2 linked regions of the Notamacropus eugenii genome follow. The protein of the gene in region 1 interacts with the protein of each later gene in a biochemical or structural test. Links are inferred from orthologs where the notes say so. Each region holds a gene or a part of one and is shown on either strand. Other genes may lie near its edges. The genes, in order: POLI and POLH.

The links.
Region 2: the proteins of POLI (region 1) and POLH interact in far-western blotting, tested with the Homo sapiens proteins (2 studies listed by BioGRID). The link is inferred for Notamacropus eugenii from reciprocal best matches to the Homo sapiens genes POLI and POLH.

Annotation. Positions count from the first base shown.
Region 1 is NC_092875.1:436,982,079-436,985,998, forward strand, and holds the start of POLI (DNA polymerase iota), read right to left. Parts: upstream 3,206-3,920; coding exon 3,052-3,205; intron 2,954-3,051; exon of another isoform or gene 2,293-2,953; intron 2,010-2,292; coding exon 1,884-2,009; intron 1-1,883. UniProt on the Homo sapiens protein: Error-prone DNA polymerase specifically involved in DNA repair. Plays an important role in translesion synthesis, where the normal high-fidelity DNA polymerases cannot proceed and DNA synthesis stalls. Favors Hoogsteen base-pairing in the active site.
Region 2 is NC_092873.1:106,529,551-106,533,470, forward strand, and holds the start of POLH (DNA polymerase eta), read left to right. Parts: upstream 1-1,030; 5' UTR 1,031-1,079; coding exon 1,080-1,101; intron 1,102-2,822; coding exon 2,823-2,919; intron 2,920-3,920. UniProt on the Homo sapiens protein: DNA polymerase specifically involved in the DNA repair by translesion synthesis (TLS). Due to low processivity on both damaged and normal DNA, cooperates with the heterotetrameric (REV3L, REV7, POLD2 and POLD3) POLZ complex for complete bypass of DNA lesions.

The sequences.
Region 1 (3,920 bases):
TGGAATTTTACAGTTGCCTAAAATGTTTCCCTAGAGTATGCTTATGGAATTCCAAATTCCATTTTGAAGACCTCATTCTCATTCATAAATTCAACAAATATTTATTAAACATTTTCTATGAGTAAAATACTTTTCAAAATTCAGCAAGTTCTATTCAAATATTAAGTAACAATTAGGCTGAAATACAAGATGCAGCTGGTGGCAGACTGGAATTTTTGGGCCTGATTTCAGAAAGACCTGAATTCAAATCAAGTCTCAGGAACTTAATAGCTATGTAACCCTGGGTAGGTCATTATCTGCCTGCCAGTTTTCTCCACTGTACTATGGGGATACTAACAGCACCTACTTTCTAGCTTTGTTGTGAGGATCAAATGAAAGAAGATTTATAAAGTCCTTAGCACAGTGTCTGGCACGTAGTGGATGCTATATAAATACTTACTCCCTTCCCCCCAACAAACTCAATTTCCCAATTGCAATGAATGGCTCTGCATTGCCTTTATCTTTCACAAAACCATCTACTTCTGCAGAACTTTCGGCCTACATGGTAAACTTACACTCATCTATGTCAGAACTAAAACTTTTAAAGATTGATTCTTCCAAGTATGGTCCTGTGAACTTTGGAGGTATTCTTCAGGCGATCCACAAGGCCAAAACTATTCCCATTATAATACTTAGACATATTAATTTTTAATACATTATCAAGAGATATAACCCACATAAAAGCTCTTTGGGGTCCTCAATAATTTTTAAGAATATAAAGAGATCCTAAGTTCAAAAAGTATGACAACCGCTTGATCAAATCAACCTTTGTATTTCATGAAGGAATGAAGGTCATGAGAAAATAACTAAGGAAGGTCACACAGCTAGTGAACGGCAGAGTCAAAATCTGAAGCAAATTCTTCTGGTTTTAACTATGTAGTCTTGTGTTTATTTATTCCAAATTCAACAACACTACCTGTGGTTAATTTTTAAAAGTGCAAATATCCTGAACTTCAAGTACAAGGATTGTGTTTTATACTGTTTTATATAAAACAGCAAAGGGCCCAGCCCAGATAAGGGGTTCAATAAATTACTGTTGATGACAATGACTTTGACAAATTCCAAATTTGTTTTTAAAAAATCATTTAAACAAAATTTCAGTGAACATTTGTAGATGGTCTAGAACCAGTTAATTTTGAGTATCTGCTATCCCTTTTAGCCAGGAAAAAAGGATATTCAGGGCCGAGGACCATTTTATATTTTTGGTCATTGCAAGAGTTGCCATGGCCAAAAAATTTCACCATCAGGTGGCCAACCTTCTGGTGATTAGAAGTGACAATAATATCTGATATTTATCAGGAATCATTTCTTCCCCAGAAGAAATTTGAAGAGCATGCTGTTTCATTTTTTTTTTTTATCTCTCTTAGTACCTAATAGTGCATTATACACATAAGGCACTGAATAAAAATTTTTGAATGACTAGATCACATCAACCAAATAATAACAGAAGTAGTAGTTATTCTCACATTTTAGGGTGGGAAACAAATTCAAATAATTTACTTATGAATGCAAATAGGAAGTAAGCAGTGAAACCAGCTAGGCCTGAAGGTCCATCCAGAAATAAAACTAAGCTATTTATTGGTTTTGCACTGACAAGTGTATGTGCCCATATCTAAATTTCTTGCTCTCTTTGCTTCAGATGATCCATTTATAAAGTAATGATTATAAAATTCATATCCCCTTCATTACTACTTATTACAGTACAGGAATCACTTTTAAAGTTTTACAATACTAAGCTGAGTAAAATGGAATGGAATGGAACACAGTAACAACAAAAAAGCAATTCTAACAGATTTAGTGCTTAAATATAGAAAGGGAAAGAAAATATGTAAGTCCAGAAATACCTAAAGGTTTGCCTTTTAATTCCGGATGAGAGATCATTTCTACTTGTGCATAAAAGCAATCCAGATCCACGTGTACTATGACTCTGTAGGAGGCACTTTCTGCCGGCACAACTTGACCATGAACTGCTGCACCACATGCAAAGGAATGCAAAATATTTTCAGACTCCTGACCCTAGGCTAACAGGGTAGGGTGGTGGTAAAAGATGGTGAATAACAAAAGTGTGGTCTGCCAGGCTTAACAGTTTTGTCTTTCCCTGACTTACCCTATGAGCCAAGGTTTTAAGTTATAGTTTTCAGAATACTCCAATGGATTAAAAAAACAAAAAAGCAACTTTTACCTGACATCTATACAATTTAGCACAACTGCTTAATTCCGAAAAAGGGAAAAAAAATCATAAAACATAAATACCCTCCTGGAAGGAAGATGAAGTGATTTAGATAATTTCCACGGAACTAGGGGAACCTGATTCCTCACGCACTTCACTATACTCGGCCCACGTGGCTAACGTCAGGGTCCAAATGGCGGGGAACAAGAGCTGTGTGTTTTAGAGCTGAACATCCCCACGAGCAGACTTGAAAGCTCAGGCAAAGGGGCGATAAGGGCCCAGGAGAGGCCGCCCTGCCTGCCCCAAGCCACAACCCAGCCAGATCTCTCCAATCGCCAGGCCGTGGGTGGGGTGAAGCGGGCGGGGAAGGGCACCCCGCCCCGGGGCCACAAGCCCTGCCCCTGCCTGCCCTGCCCCCGCAGGACCCATCTCATCATCCCTCCCCAGAGCCACGCGGGCAACAGACCAGCTCCCGCGTGGACCGGGGCGGGACGTCACAGCTGCTCAAACCTTGAACTTGGTGGGAGGGCCTTTCGTGTCTCGGATTTTTTTTTTTTATAAATAAGTTTAAAAAATGTTTTTGTTAATGCACCCTCGCTTGCCTAACACGTGGAGAAGTAAAAATACCCTCCACCCTCCACAGGACATCCCGGCAGCCCCTGGGGCTCACTCCAGCCCTCCTCTGGGCCAGAGCCGGGGGGTGGGCCCTGGGACCTCTCGGCGGAAGCCCTTCCCGGGGAGTCTGCCCTGGGGCGGGGCCGCGCCCTCCGCCCCCCGCCCCCCGCCCCCCGGCGGGCCGAGGCCCTTCCCCCTCTCCCCGCAGCCGCTCTCATTTCATTTACAAGGAGCGAGGCGGACGGCCTCCACGGGCCCCGTGGCGCTCTGAGAGCCTCCTGCCGCCCCTAAGAGCTGAGAGTCCATAGTGTCTTCCTCCTCGTCTTCTTCTTCGTCGTCCTCGTCCTCCTCTTCCTCCGGCTCCACCCCTAGCGTGTCCATTCCGCGGCGGCCAACCGCAGCTTCGCCTTCCTGTCGCCTCCGCCCCCGTCGCCCCGGGAAACGGCGGGCTCACAGGTCCCGCCCCTTCGGGGCCTTGGCGGAAGGACGAGGCCGGCCAGCCAATTAACGGCGGGGCGCACGCGGGCGCATGCGCTCTCCTCAGCCCGCCCGCCTGCCTTAAGGGAAACGGAAGCTGACGCCTTGCTTCTGACGGGGAAGTCCCTCTGGCACCGAGCTGTAGGCTAAAGTCCCCACGAGAGAGAACGAAAGCTCCAGACTAGCCATATTTAGTTGACATCGACAGAAATAGCCCTACGACACACGTAGGTACTCCTCCTTTGTAAGGCGTAACCCCATCCGTTAGCCAATGGCCCAATTCCCTCACTGGCCGGCTCTCGACTAGGGGGACCACGGGAAAATGGGCGCCATAGGAGATATTAGGGATTTGCTTGTTTGTTTGTTTATGAGTGGGCATTTTCCTTCCACCCTTCCCCCTAAGAAGCCTCTTAGGTAATGGCTTTAACTCAGTCCACTACAAATAAGATTAAAAAAATGTTAACGGAAGAATCAGAATTTAGATCTACGTTTTATATGTAGGGAAGTGACTTGTCCAAGGTCTTGGACTTCCTTTGCACCACATGAAACTGCTGCTGGAAAAAGCAGGAATGCCTGGGCTGCTACTAAATAGCAAAACTGTTATATATCTATGTCTATA
Region 2 (3,920 bases), on another chromosome or scaffold:
AACAGGTATTTTAAACCAGACGATGTAATAGTGATCATCGTTATCAGGGTCAGCACCGACTGGAAAGAAACTTCCTCCAGTGTCTGTTTTTGTGTTCTGTGCAATCTCATTTACATATTGTATTCGCTGATATTTATGTCTTATATCCCCAACCCCCATTCGATCACTTGTTCCTCTAATCTTTCCTGTTATTTTAAGTGCCTTTTTTTCCCCACTGGCAGTCTGATTCTTTTTCGTCTTCGTAGTTTCATAAAGTTGCTACCATGATCCACTTTCCAAGGCTGAGTTATCTCTGTTACATGAGAACTTAAACTGCGGATATATTACATCCTTCTTTAGCTATTATTGTTCAGTGAACTAAAATTGATTTCCTTCTTTCAGTCAGATATCTCAAATAATAAAGAGATATTATTTTCTTAATCTTTTTTTGCACATTTCCAAATTAATAGCATTGAGACATACTATAACTTTTACCAGTTGAATCCTGTTTTCTGTTCTAGAATATGGTTGGATGCTTAAAATATGGTTGGGTGCTCAACTGTCAACCTCTGTCTCCTATTTACATCTATACTCCTTCCTCTCTGCTCATTTATGTTTCCTGTGGTTTTCAACTTAGTACTTCCTAAGCACTCTGAAATATACTTGTGCATTGTTCACTCCAACTTCCAGATTAATAACAATGATAAATATCACTAACCTTACTACCTAATGAATTATACTTTTTTGGTTTTCCGTTTCCTTTGTCCTCAATAAAGAGGTCAAATAAAAATGTGTAAGTGATTTAGGTTTCCTCTCTAGAAATACCATCTCATTGCTCTTTTCTGTGTTGGTCTTGGGTTCACCCAAGTCCTATCTGGGAATATTGTATTTTTTCCAGTTACTTGTAAAAACAATTTTTAACATACATTTAAAAAACGTTTTTGAGTTTCAAATTCTCTCCCTTCCTTCCCTCCCCCTCATCTCTCTGAGATGGGAAGTTATATATAGGTTATACATGTACAATCATGCAAAAGATCAAGTTCTCTCCCCGGACCCAAGCTCAATTATTCTCTCCTAGAAGCTTTCGGCTGTTCTGATGGATGATAAAGAATTCATGTGTTAGTGAGTCAGAATTCATTATCTTCCTACCCTTACTCTCTCCCCTTCCCATCTTCCCTGTTTCTGTAAAGGGCCCTCCTCATCCTTCCAGACAACTTGGTTTGCAACTTCAGAGTCATCAGCACTCCTTCATTCTCCCTCACCCCTTGTGTCCAGTCAGTTGCCAAATTCCCGGGATAAAATACAAATTTTCCTGTTTGGCATTTGAAACCCACCACCACCTAACCCTAACCAACCTATTTTTCCAGACAGTTGCACATGACCCCTTGTCATGCATTTTTCTTCTAGCCAAATTGGCCAACTTGTTTTCTCCAAACTTGACATTTTCATAGTCAAATATCTCATGTCCTAAATTTACTGCCTCTTTACTTGTGCCTCTTAGGATCTGTAGACTGCTTCAAGGCACAGCACCAAGAGATTTCTCCTGAAATTAATCCTTTACTTATCTCTCCCCCTCTATATGTTAGTATTCTTCCTACCTCACTGTGGCTATTTTGTATTTATTTTATATTGACCTTTCTATGTACATTTTTGTTGTCTCATAAGAGAATGTAAACTCCTTGAGGACAAAAATTGTTTCATCTTTCTTTGTATTCCTACTGTCTAGCACAACTTCATGCACATAGTAGGCCCTTAATAAATGTTTGTTGAATTGGCATAGTAGATAAAGAGAGCACTGGGCTTGGGATCAGGAAGAACCATATTTGTGAGTTCAAATCCAGCCCCAGATACTAGCTGTGTGACCCTGAGTACTTTATTTAACCCTGTTGGCCTCAGTTTCTTCATCCATAAAATGAGTTGGAGAAAGAAATTGCAAACCACTCCAGTATCTTTGCCACGAAAACCCCAAATGGGCTCATGAAGAGTCAGAAACAACTGAACAACACAATTTTGATCCCTCTAAAATATTTTATTGAATTATATATAGTAACCATACTGAATTATCCTTAGTGATTTCAGGTTGCTTTAAAACTTAAAAAGTACGCTGGTTTCTGTAGCAAAATACATAAACTGAATAAAGTCATTCATACTCTGTCTAGTAGAATTGTGAGTTAATCTTTTAACTGGCTATTTTGTGCAGTATTAAAAAGTGGTAGTTTAAATAATCCAAGAAAGAGTCTTTGTGTTATGTCATGCTACAGACTAGTTAACTAGAATTTGATGAAACTAAGTGAAAAAAAGAATTTTCAAATGTGGGTTACTTTTAGCCCATTCTAGCCCAGGTTTTATGATTATCAAGAACCTTCAAATTGCCTCATTATAGGAAGGTAGGAAGAAATTCCTCTTAGGGTTAAGTGGAAACCTTCCAAAACATATTTCTCTCACATGGTATTCTTAATAATTCCTCCAAACTAATAAACAATTTTTTCCTGCAGGTGGACATTAGCTGTTCTTAAAAGAATGGCTATTATATCAAAACTTAGTTTCTTCTTTATCTATTTTGCTCTTGCTTAGCCTTAGTAGAAAGGAGATAAAATTGAATTTCACAGATGAAACTGAAAGCCAAAGTTAATCAACAGTTTCATCTAATTTCTCCTACAACTTTAAAAAAATTTGTGTAACCACAGACTAGGTCCTTATAGTGTAGTTTTTACCAATGCTTCTGATAAATTGAATTTTTGAATAAGCATTATCAAACTTGACGTTACATTGTTAGCTTTCGGCACTGAGAATTTTTAGAGTAAGATTTAAAGATCATCTAATTCAATCCTTTCATTTTACAGATGAGAAAACTGTTCTGTTCTTCACCTTGTTTCCATCTTTTAAAACTGAAATCATATGCTACCTCTTATGTGAAGATTTCCCTGATGCCCATAGAAGGTAAAGATCTTCCTCTTTATGCCTAATGCTTTTACACTTTTTGTAATATACTTGTAATATTTTAGATTGTAGTTATCTGTTTTTGTGCCTTAAATTTTCTGAGCTTTATTAGTTCATTAGTTCTCAACATCACACAAATTACCTGAAAAGGGTTATGTTTGACATACTCTATTCAATGCAGGAAATATTTATTTAAGCCCATACCATGTGCACAGGACTGTGTTAGACTCTAAGGAAATACAGTTTATGTAAGATATTCTTTTTGACTTGATGGGGCTAAAAGTCTAGTAGTGGGATAAAGAAGGAAGAAAACAAGCATTTATTAAGTGCCCACTGTTTAGCTAGGTGCTGTTACAATTATTATCTCATTTTATCCCCTCAGTAACATTGGGAGGTAGGTTCTGTTATTATCCTTATTTTGCAGTTGAGTAAACTAAGACAAACAGATCAAGTTACTTGCCCAGGCCCATACAGCTAGGAAATGTTTGTAGCTAGATTGGAACTCTAGATTGGTTTTCTGACTTTAGGCCCAGCATTCTATCTACTGCACCAACTAGCTGCTTCAGATAAGGACATACATAGAATCACAGAGTCAGAAGAGGCCTCAGAGTTCATCTAGTCAAACACATTCCTGAAGGAAATAAGCATTGATTAAACCCCTCTAAGTGTCAGGCACCAAACCAAACACTTTACAAATATTGTCTCATTTGCTTCTCACAACAATCCATTTTATAGTTGAGGAAAGTGAGGCAGATAAAGATTAAGTTACCTGACCAGGGTCACATACCTACTAAATGTTTGAGGCTGGATTTGAATTTAGGTCTTCCTGACTCCAGGCCGAGCACTGTCTCCACTGTACAACACTAGGGGATAGTTTGTTCAATTCTCTGGAGGTGAGATATGGAGAACTGAATTCACAAAGCAGCGAGTTCCAGTTTGGCTGGAGGATGTAAGTGCTTTAAGGGTAATCAAGTGAAATCAGGCTGAAAAGATAGATAGGA